Linked DNA regions of Drosophila melanogaster. The gene in region 1 interacts genetically with each later gene. Each region holds a gene or a part of one and is shown on either strand. Other genes may lie near its edges.

What was found.
Region 2: of br (region 1) and LIMK1, changing one enhances a phenotype caused by changing the other (phenotypic enhancement), as found in Drosophila melanogaster (one study listed by BioGRID).
Region 3: of br (region 1) and Met, changing one enhances a phenotype caused by changing the other (phenotypic enhancement), as found in Drosophila melanogaster (2 studies listed by BioGRID).

What each region holds. Positions count from the first base shown.
Region 1 is NC_004354.4:1,610,308-1,614,063, forward strand, and holds the start of br (broad), read left to right. Parts: upstream 1-2,033; 5' UTR 2,034-2,496; intron 2,497-3,349; exon of another isoform or gene 3,350-3,638; intron 3,639-3,756.
Region 2 is NC_004354.4:12,590,526-12,594,281, reverse strand, and holds the start of LIMK1 (LIM domain kinase 1), read left to right. Parts: upstream 1-2,088; 5' UTR 2,089-2,351; intron 2,352-3,756. Other genes in the region: CG1824 (uncharacterized protein), read left to right, coding at 1-406, 670-1,275, 1,334-1,582. UniProt on the Drosophila melanogaster protein: Protein kinase which regulates actin filament dynamics. Phosphorylates and inactivates the actin binding/depolymerizing factor tsr/cofilin, thereby stabilizing the actin cytoskeleton.
Region 3 is NC_004354.4:11,614,120-11,617,875, reverse strand, and holds the start of Met (Methoprene-tolerant), read right to left. Parts: upstream 1,753-3,756; 5' UTR 1,009-1,752; coding exon 1-1,008. Other genes in the region: RPA3 (replication protein A3), read left to right, coding at 2,122-2,358, 2,430-2,531; CG1703 (uncharacterized protein), read right to left, coding at 2,921-3,756.

The DNA.
Region 1 (3,756 bases):
GAGTGACTGCGGGTGACTAACCCACTGCAGTTTCAATTAGAACAAACGACATCGACAAGTTCAATGTGATCATTTCGCCTTCGCAGTCGCTGTTTTCTGCCTTCTGCCTTCGACGTCGGCGTCTACGCCGTCAGGTTGTTGTCGAGGTTGTTGGCTGCCTGCGACTCCGTTTGCGCCGCCTAGAGGTTAATGCCGGTTGTAATTGCAAAGCACCCAACCCGAAACCGGAGACCCAACAAAGGAGCGGAGCTTAGAGCGACTACAGTGGTCCCTGCCCGCGCGACTCGCCTCTTTCTGGCTAATCTGTGACTCGGTGACATTTGCGATGATCTTGAAACAACCATAAACCGAACGAGACGCAGCAATAAAGGCATTATGGGTACGTAGGTAATGTTGTGTATATGGTACGTGTAGATACATTTATACGTTTATGAATCGGCAAGAGGTCACTGCAGACAGGGAAACCTTAACAAAACAACACTCAAGACAATTCTTGAAAAATGCTAACGTGAGTGCGAGACCAGCAGAATTAAAAAACCAAAATCGCCACGCATGAATCTAAAAAATAAAAAAACCAAAAACAGCTCATAAAAATATCGGCGACAACAACAAGGGGATGCAGCAGTAAAATAAAAACGCTGCAAAAACAATTAAATTCGGACAAAAAAAAAAACTGGCAAACAAGATGCAAGTGGCAACAAGTTTCTCAGACTCAGTCGCTCAGTTTCTCCTCAGGGCCAGCAAATCTTCGCTCTGCAGTCTTCGGTCTTAAGTCTTTGTGCGTGCCAGGAGGTGGGGCGGGGGAGCAGGGAAATGGGAATCTGGGTTATGGCAAACAGGGGAGCCATGTAATAAAATGCGGTAATGGTAATGGTAATGGTAACCAAAATATTAAACAACTCTTCACCAACATCAGCAGAAAATGCAATTCCAAAGGGTGACGCAAGGGAGGGAAGGCAGGGGAAGGCCCTAAAAACAGGCCGACTTTGGATTTGGGTTTGCGTTTGGGATGGGGCTCGAAATGTGGGCTACACTTTCAATTGGAACCCTCTGTGGGGGTATGGTGGGAAGGGGGTACAGGCGGGTCGTGAAATCGGGCAATTCCGAGCCGAAGACGCACGACGATATTCTGCCTAAAAAAAAAAACGCTCCGATCGCCGCCGACTTTGTGTGCGTATGTACCGCTTTCTGTATCTTTGGAGTTACATAGGGGGAAAGTTGCATATTCCCCTACCCGTTCCCATTCCCCTTACCCCTCTCGCTCCATATCACTCTATTTACAATTTGCCGCTGCCGATCTGCGGATCTGCCCCAAACATTCGCGTTTGTAATTGCATCGGTGTGTGGGCGGCGCTCGTTGATTCGTTCGCTCGCCGACGACTTTGCATTTCATTTCCCCCAATTTTGTCGGCCTGACAATGAATAAACAAAACTTCTAAATGGGCAATACCAGAAAACACAACAGAATATACGGACAGCAGAAAAAAAAATAATAAAAAAACCACAACCACACACATGGAACCCCCGAAAAAAACGCAATTTTCGCTTGCTCGGCTTCGCCGCCGTCGCATGCGCAGAAAATTTGCTCGTTTTTTTGGCGACTGCGCTGCAGGCAGCGCTGTAAACTGCAGCGATCGGATCGAGTTGATCGCAGAACGCAGATCGCAGATCGCAGATCGCACTGCTGCCGCTGCCGCCGCCGTCGACGTCGCTGCACTCCAAAAAAGCGAAGGAAACACACAATCGCACACGAGAAGTATATAACAAAAAAGCGAGCAAATAAGGCAAAAAGTAAAAAGTAAAAAGCAAGAAGCGAAAAAAGCGAATGAAACATACAGGCGGCATAAGTATATACACACACACACATATATATCACAAACACTGGTGCACAGCGAATTCTCTGATTCAATTGGGCAGACGCACACACTCGCGCACACACCAATACACACGCACACTGGCAGAGGGCAGCGGCACAAGCCCAACACATTTAACTGCATTTTTTCGGAACTCAGTTGAGCTTTTTAATTCGATCGGTTCAGTTACTAAAGTTAGTTCAGCCTAAACGCACAATTTCAATTTCCATTTCTAAGTTTGAGCCCGAATTGAATAGCATTAGTGCCCACCCCACGCCTACCCTCGCACCACCGCACCAACGCACCACAGCAGTATCCAACACACACACGAGGACTGGACAATTCCCTCTGTTCTATTTTTTTGTGTTTTTTGTCAAGTGCACCCAAGCAAAGACCAAAGGACGCAAACCATCTAGTGCGCGATTCGCGCGCGTTTTGAATCAAAAGAATCTAAGAATCCAAGAATAGCTAAATCACTGAATCGCAGAATCAGGAGCGGAAAAAGCGAAAGCCAACCCCAAAAACCCAAAGCCCCAAAAGTTCAAGTGAATAATCAGTGTGCATCCCCAAGTAGTCGACCCAATGAAGCGCCGCCATGAGCAAGGATGCACCTACTGAGCGCAACTACAACCGCACCATCCAGGTAAGGGTTTCCTACATCCCATCCGACCCCATCCGCTTTGCTTTGTAGGGCAAACCGAACGTGCTGGAAGCTCCTTGATCTAGGGGCAGAGGGAGCCTAGCATCCAGATCTATATCGACATACACACACACACACATCCATATTCTCACACACGGTTGCAGGTACAGATACACACTGAAATTTGATTCGGATTCGTGGCCCGATCCATAAGAAGGACATTTGAGTCATCCGATGCAGCTGCCTGCTCTCTCCCTCTCTGCCTTTGGGCTCGGCTCTCCTCATTAGCACTTTGATGAAGAGTCACAAAAGCGGACGGACCGGGCCTAGACCCCTCCCTTCGAACTGTCCAAAAATTTCGGTGCATCTGCATACAAAGGCACACAAAGACGCACAGAGTGTACGGATACAGATACAGATACAGATGCAGCTACATATACATATACAGATACAGACACATATACTGTTACAGATACAGATGCACTGCAGGAAGCAGGGCAGCACAGTAGCCTCAGTCGCCTCTTTCAGCCCCGTTTCAGCTTCTCCACCCCTGGACTCTGCGCTGCATTGTTCCACTTCTACACTTCCACACTTCCCCACTTCCCCACTTCCCCACTTGTCCGCTACCCGCCACTCCTCGCTTTTTCGGCTGCAGTCTGTCAGTCAGACTGAGGCTTCGTGAAGCTCACGGCCAAGGCGAAGGCAGCTGAGGATCTGCACTCGGCCGAACACGAAGGCCGGTTGGGCAGGGTTCGGGAACGATCGAAAGCCAGCCCGAAACGGCGGAACTGCAGTTTGCTGTTCAGCGTCGCACTGAGCAAACGTCGTGTGGCAGCTCATCGCCAATTGCGAATTGCAAACTGCAAACTGAGTACCGTAAATCGCTCGCGCAAAGTGCAAGTCGCGCTGAATTCGCAAGTTCACATAATATCGGCATCCGCATATCCGCATATCTGTATATCTGCACATCCGCAAGCAGCTTGCTTCCACGCCAATTTTGTTTTCGTTGCGTTTATATTTTTTTTTCTGTTGATGTTTCTCGTTATATACATAGTATCCTTTTAGCAACCCACTCAGGCTTTTGCTGATTCTATTTCGATCGCAATCGGTCTCAGGAATCAATCTCAGGATTAGCTCTACGGCAGGTAAGTCACGTGAGGAGCGGTGGTGTTTCTGAAACTTTTGCTTTCAATGGGTTTGCTTCTGGAACTGGGCCAACAGCGAGACTCAAATGGCCAGACAGGCACGCAGTCAAGCGGTTTG
Region 2 (3,756 bases), about 11 Mb from region 1:
CGAGATGCAGCTGTTCGAGGCGGAGACCAATGAGGCGGCTCGCCTGGCGCAGAAACTCGGCTACGGCATCGCAATCTTCCAGGGCCTGACCAACTTCTTCCTCAATACACTAGTCCTATCTACGCTCTTTATGGGCGGCCACCTCATGTCTACGGAGAGTCTGTCGCCGGGTGCTCTGATGGCCTTCCTGGTCGCTTCGCAGGGTGTGCAGCGATCCCTTGCCCAGGGATCCATCCTGCTGGGCACCATGATCAGAGGCATGTCGGCCGGCAGTCGAGTCTTCGAGTTCCTATCGCTGCAGCCACAGGTGGAATTGCTGCGCGGCTACATCATCCCGCAGGAGCGGCTGCACGGCGAGATTCGATTCGAGAACGTCTCATTCGCATATCCCATGCAACCCGATCATGTGAGTTGTATTAAAGTATATCTTCATTTCATTCTCGAGACAATGATGGCATATTTACATTAATCGATGCTCTGTAATTTGTAAACTCGCCACTTTTTTATATAATATTGAATAACTTCTTATCGCTTCCGCAAGTAGATAACCATTTTATAATACCCACAAACATTTATGGCCAATATTTACGGCTAAGTGATAAAAAGATTAGAGTCTAGGCAATGCAAACAGTAATGAACTTCCTATGTCAATTTTTGCTTCATTCACAGCTGGTGCTCAAGGACTTTAGCCTGACGCTCCGCCCGGGCCAGACGGTGGCCCTGGTGGGAGCCAGTGGATCGGGCAAGTCGACGATAGCGTCGCTGGTGGAACGCTTCTACGAACCATCGGCGGGCAATATCAAACTGGACGGCTACAAGCTGTCGGACATATCGCCCTATTGGCTGCGGTCCAATGTCCTCGGTTTCATCGAACAGCAGCCGGTGCTGTTTGGCACATCGATATTGGAGAACATCCGATATGGTAAACCAGATGCGGGCGAGGAGGATGTGTATGCGGCAGCGCGTCTATCACAATCGCACGACTTTGTGACCGCCCTGCCCGATGGATATGCGACGCATGTGGGCGAACGGGGCACCCAGTTGAGCGGCGGTCAGCGGCAACGCATCGCCATTGCACGGGCGCTGCTCAAGAATCCGCGCATCCTCATCCTCGACGAGGCGACGAGTGCCTTGGACGCCACCAGCGAGGCGGAAGTGCAGAAGGCACTCGATACAGTGGTCCAGAATCGCACCACTCTGGTGATTGCCCATCGCTTGTCCACGATACGAAACGCTGACCTCATTGTCGTCCTTGATCAGGGACGCGTCGTGGAGGTGAGTTGTCCTAGACCATTGGTATCTTCAGAAATATTTATATTTTCCCTTGTTTTAGACCGGCAAACATGACGAACTGATGGGCAAGCGGGGCCTGTACTTTGAGCTGGTGCGTCAGCAGGAACGACGGGACATCCAGGAGCAAGTCCAGGCGGTGGAGGACGTTGTGGCCGTCAAGGAGCAGCAGGCAACTGCAACAGAAACTTCAACAGCCGCAACAATTGCAACTGCCGCAGAAACTTCCGCAGCAACAGTGACAGTGGGGAGCAGCAGCTTCGGTGGCAGGGCAAACGCAGCGCAAGGATAGTGACGATGTTAGGCAAATTGAATGATTCCCTATACACTTAATTTAATATTCTTATAATGTTTTCACTTTTTTTTTTGTTTTCAACTGACCAAAAACAAAAATGGTGAGAGACGCTAACAATAAGTATACAATAAAATAAACGCTGAAGACAGTATTGTTTTTGTTATAAACAGAAAGTATTTCATTGTCATTATCGCTAAATTCACCGGGTTCATTAAAAATAGATGGGATGCGTGAACTTAAATTAAAGTTTGAAAAACTGAATATAAAACACTTGAAATCCCAATTTCCGTTAAATAATATATTCAATGGGACCGCATTATTTCTACAACCATACTCATATACGGTCACTCGAAGATTAAAGAAAAACTATTTCAATATTCAATTCTGTTCAATATTTCTTGTTAGTGACAAGCAGCGTGTTTATAATAAAAAATTTGTTCATTAAAGAGTTTATATATTTTTTAAGTTGATTGGCAGCTAGACGATAGTTTTGAGATTCTTTAATGACAGTCCTACGGTCACACTGGCTGAATTGTATTTTATTTTGTGTAGTTTTGTTGTTGTTTTGTTTATTATGCATTTCTTTTTTATTGTTTGAGTTAGCGAGCTGTGCGTCGCGTCGGCATTTAAACAAAATCCGCGGCATTTCGGTAGTTGCGATTAATAATTGCTTGGCGGGAATTACAGTCGAATAAGAAATTGGCGAGGAAAAACCAACAAATGTGCAATGTGCGTCAAGTCAATAGCAATACAAACGAACAATTATGTAAGTGTGTGTGTGTGTTTGGTTTAGTTTAGTGTACAAGTCCAGCAAAAAACAATAAAATCTAAGTAAAAAACCAGTTGTTGTTGCTATTGGCTTTGCTAATGTCGTGTTGTTCCCGTTCCCCCACACACATTTTCTAACAGCGCGTGCATGTGTGTGTGTGTGTGTGTGTGTGCAGCACCTGTACGCGTGTGTGTGTGTGCTTCTGCCTCCGCACAGTGGACACATTCCTGAATTTTGGAGTCCAAAAATATGCAAATTGCCTGAGTGAATTAATTGACTTAATTAACAAAAATTGGACCGCAAGTTATGATAACCATAGTTGATTAAACGGAATTAGTTTCTAGCGGGACTAGTGCGACAAATACTCAAACTTACTTGATTTTTTACCATTCGTTCCATTCGTAAACCTAGCTTGTCTTGGCTATTTTATAGACTTCAGTCAGGGTGGCACACCCACTCATTTCCAATCTCTTCAAAGCAAAATCACAGCACTGTGATATGGTTGGTTAAAGTAAAAGTTCAATGGGTTAAGCAGGTGATTAAAGGCACATTAACCCCTAATGGAGCTTGGACTGCACTTAACGCACGGCTCACATGTGACCACTGTGCGCGCGTGCAAGTGTGTGCGTGTGCATTCGTCATTCATTGGTCATGTTTATGCGGTCGGAAGAGGGACGTGCACAACAACTACAGTTAGCTCAGCTGAAGTGCAATTGCGATTGCAGTTGATCCAAAGAGTCGCGTTTGTTGTTGCATCAACCGGAGTTTTCACGGTCAATGTTGAGCTATATCCATAAATACACAAACATTCATGTGTATTTGCATATACATATGTATGTCCATATGCATATATCCATGGATTATGCATGCAAATCGATGATGGAAATCAGGCGGTATAGCGAATTCCGATGGGGGGCAGCTGACTCAGGATCGAAGTCTTTATCACTGAACCCTAAACTAATGACTACCGGACTCAATTATTTTGTTTTGTTCGGTCATTTTGTTTAGTACGCAAAAATATTTACATGGCTATCGCTTTAGCAATAAAGTTCGAATTGCTGTCCCAGTATATCATAAAAAATCACGGAGAGTTTTGAATGCAATTGGTTTTGAAAAATGCCAAACCTTCCTATCATTAACACTTAAATCAGTTAGAAAAACTAATATAATACTATATTAGTTGATAATAAATGCATTTCATGTATGATATCATTGTAGATATCTTTTTTCTCAACGTTAATGATAATGGGTAAAGATAGCTTATTTATAGACCTACATTGCCTATATGATATTTGCTTAGTTTCCACTGGTTCATATCGACCTGTTGACGATAATTGGCCAAGTTCCGTGACTGCTGGTCTATATTTACTATATTTAATACCTATTCCGTCATCGACTAATA
Region 3 (3,756 bases), about 10 Mb from region 1:
AGCAGCCAGCATATTGTTGTTTCTCGAGCGTCGTATCAGCTGGGAGACAATCGGATAGTTGGCAGCGGCACCTCCGGTTAAGGAGGAGTCACTGCGACGAAAGCAGCCATCGATCTTAACCCGCTCGTAATGACGCGTGGCCTCCGCTCGCGTGGAAGCCCTAGCCAAGCGGACGGTAAAGCAGCGCCGATCCATGCGTAGTCGGTCATCAATGGTCGCCAAATGGGCCATTCTCCGCGGGCTGGGTGTTCGTCGGTTGTACGGGTGATCCTCGTCATCGTCCGCCTCTCCCTGCTGCCGACCCAGACGGTGTTCCTCCGTCTCCATTTCCTCCTCCTCCAGATCACTGCCCGAAGTTGAGGCCGACGTGGAAGTGGAGTGCTGCTGGGGATTGTGCCCCTGCTGCTGGTGGTGCTGATGCTGATAGAACAGGGTCTCTATATCCCTGGGTATTAGCTGCTGTCTTAACAGATCCTGATCATCGGGATGCGTGATCTGCAGTAGATTCTGGCCATACAAATCGGACTGACAGTGACCCAATAGCTGCTCCACGCTGGTGGATACCAAAACGATTTGGCCACTGCAGGTTAGGGTGAGGAAGCAGCAGTCCAGCAGTTGCATTAGAGTGTCCGTTAGATGCAGACTGGGATTGGGTAGATCTCCGACAGGTGAGGCAGACATACCCGTTCCCTTGAGGCCGGTTTTCTTGCGACGTCTGGAAGCGGACTTGCCAAAGACATACTGAAGTCTCAGGCCATGGGTGGCGAATCTAAGGACGGCGGTTTTGTCCAGGCGACGGGAGGATTCGGCTGCATGTGGTACCATGGTGGCCAGCTCCTGGATGCTGGCATTAAGCTTATCCCGTCGCTGTTTTTCGGCAAGGTTACGGGCCTCCCGTCCATTCGCTGGATCTGAGGAGCTCCCACTTCCCGATCCCGATCCCGATCCCGATCCTGTCGAGCCAGCGGATCCTGTGGAGCCCGTGTTGCCCGTCTCTGGTGCTGCCATTTTGGACTTTTTGGGCGTTTTCTGGAGTTACTGCCTCCTTGTTTTCCACTTGTAATCCTCGATTTATGGATTTTCCCCTTTAATTGGCGCCTTGCGGTAAATGAAAATCGTCACTCTCCATAACAGGGTGTACGCTCCGCACTTCTAGAATTGTTATTATGGAAATTTTTCGGCTAAAATATATTTTTTATTACTTTTGCAGCTTTTAGTTTCTTATTTTTGGCTGTTGTCTTGTTTTTTTTGCTGCTTTTAAAGTTTTCAAGGTCTCGCTTATGCTGTGCTGTTGTTTTTGTTTTTGCTCGCCTCCCCTCTCTCGCTCACTCTCCTTCGCTCACTGACACACACACACACACGTCACTCTCACGCAACGTACATATGTTTTCTCTTTTCGCTTTCGTACTTTTCCACTTGCTTTTAGTCTTATTATTACTATTATTTGCTTCCCTATTTATTTATGCGTTTCGCCTTGTAGTTTTTTATTTTTCGTTTTTTTTTTACGTTTTGATTGCGTTGCGAATCTGAATCTCCTGCTTATTGTTGTTGCTGTTGCTGGTGGCGTTGTTGTTGTTGCGATTTAATGCCCGCAATAAGGAAATTCGGAGGGCGGCGGTCGTTTTAACAACGCACTTGCTGCTTGCACTTATTTTTGTTTATACTAAGTGATTAATTGTTTATTTGTAACATTTATTTTATAACAATAAACATTGGCCAGTCTAAAAACTATCGATACATCGATGTAACTGGTTGTCGTACTAAAATTCGCACGTTCACACCGGACAAAATATCAGAAAGATTCGAACATCTTGTTCGCTGTCGATAACATTGTTGTAATACATGTAATCTATCAGGTCTTTTTATAATTCTATTATAAATTATTTTTATTAATTCTTATTATAATACATAAGTCCACAGTAATAATGTAATAACTTTTGATGTTACAATAAATCCATAAATATTTTTGCTACAAAATTCGAATAATTTCGATAGCAGACGTCATGCAATTTTATTATCGATTAGCACGCTCGATAACTATTGGCGCTCTTTCTTGTTTACGGCATTTCATTTTCTGCTGAAATTGGCTGTTTTTTGAACGTTATTAACTGAGGAGTTATTATGGATGCCTTTGATCCACGCTCGATTATCAACGGCGGCATGCTGAAGCAGTTTTCCGGCCAAACCGTGAGCATAATGGTTCGCGTGGAGAGCGTCGCGGGATCCACTTTGCTGGCCAGTTCCACAGACAACCACAAGCTAAAGATCAATCTGCCGGGTGAGCTGGGCGCCGCCGAAGGGGCCTGGGTCGAGGTCATTGGAGTGCCCCATGGTGCGGACACCCTCAGGGCCAAGGAGGTGGGTGCACTCAATCCATGGAGTCATTTATTTCAATGATCCCAAACCATTTGCCCACTATTCATTTGCAGGTCATCGAGTTTGGCGGCGAGAACATCGACTTCGATAAGGATGGCTATAATGGATTGAGCCACCTGATTAACAATGTCAAGGCCTTCTATCGCAGCGGCTAGGATGTCCACAATTATATCTAAGAATTAATATTATGTACTCTAATGTTATTTTTTCCATTTTTTTGGAGAACACTCAGAGCTGGCATTAACTTTAAATATAAATCATCTATCTACATATATTACGAGTACAATTTACGGGTGTTTTAACCAGTTCCACGTATATTCTACAACAAATACTTAATACCCACAATTTAATAACATAAACAACACATTCTTAAACGCTCTTGTGTAATAACATTTACTTCCACAATTTGTTATTGTATATATGTTGGTATAAAAAGACTAACTAGCAGATAATCAATTCAACAGTTGAACAATTAACATAGGGCGAGCCAGCTGACGAGTGATGACCAGTTGCATGGACTCCAAGTCCGTATGCAACTTGAGGGTTATTGCAGCACAGCCGCATTGGCCACCACGCTAGGATTGTTGACCACCTCGCCGAGCGAATCGAGAACCTCCTTTCTGTAGTCATCGAACTCTCCAACAATCTCGTTGATCGTCTGATCCTCAATTACGTAGAGAGTGCAACCTGTTTCACGGATCAAACGCTCGTCGTGGGAGACGATGATCACGCCACCCTCGTACTCGTTGATTGCCTCCGCCAAGGCGTCGATACTCTCGATGTCCAGATTGTTCGTAGGCTCATCGAGAATTAGTACATCCGGCGCACTCAAGCATAGCTCAGCGAGGGCCACACGGGCTTTCTGACCACCGGACAGATCCTTCATCTTGATGGTGTGTGCATGACTGACCAAACCAAAGGAACCCAATGCCTTACGCGCCTTTTCGTGGGGCAGATTGAACAGACGCTGCAGGTACTCTGCAGCCGATTCCTCTGCCGTGAGATGTTCACCTGAGTGCTGATCGAAGCGGCCCACATGAAGTCGGTGATTCTTGCGCTGCTCACCCTCCTGCGGTTCCAATTCACCGAGCAGCAGCTTGAGGAAGGTTGATTTGCCCACACCATTGGGTCCCACGATGGCCACTCGACTAGTTAGATCAATGCCAAAGTCAACCTTGATGAACAGCGGTTTCTGGCTCGGAAAGGCGAAGGTGACATTGTGGACACCCAGAATGGGTGGCTGGAGCTGCGATGGCTCCGGGAAGCGGAACTTGACAATATATTCCTTGGGCCTGGCCAACAGCTCCTGAGGTCCCTCATCCTCGTCCTGTTTCTGCTGCTTAGACTTGTTCTTCTCCTGCTTGCGTGTGAGCGATTCCT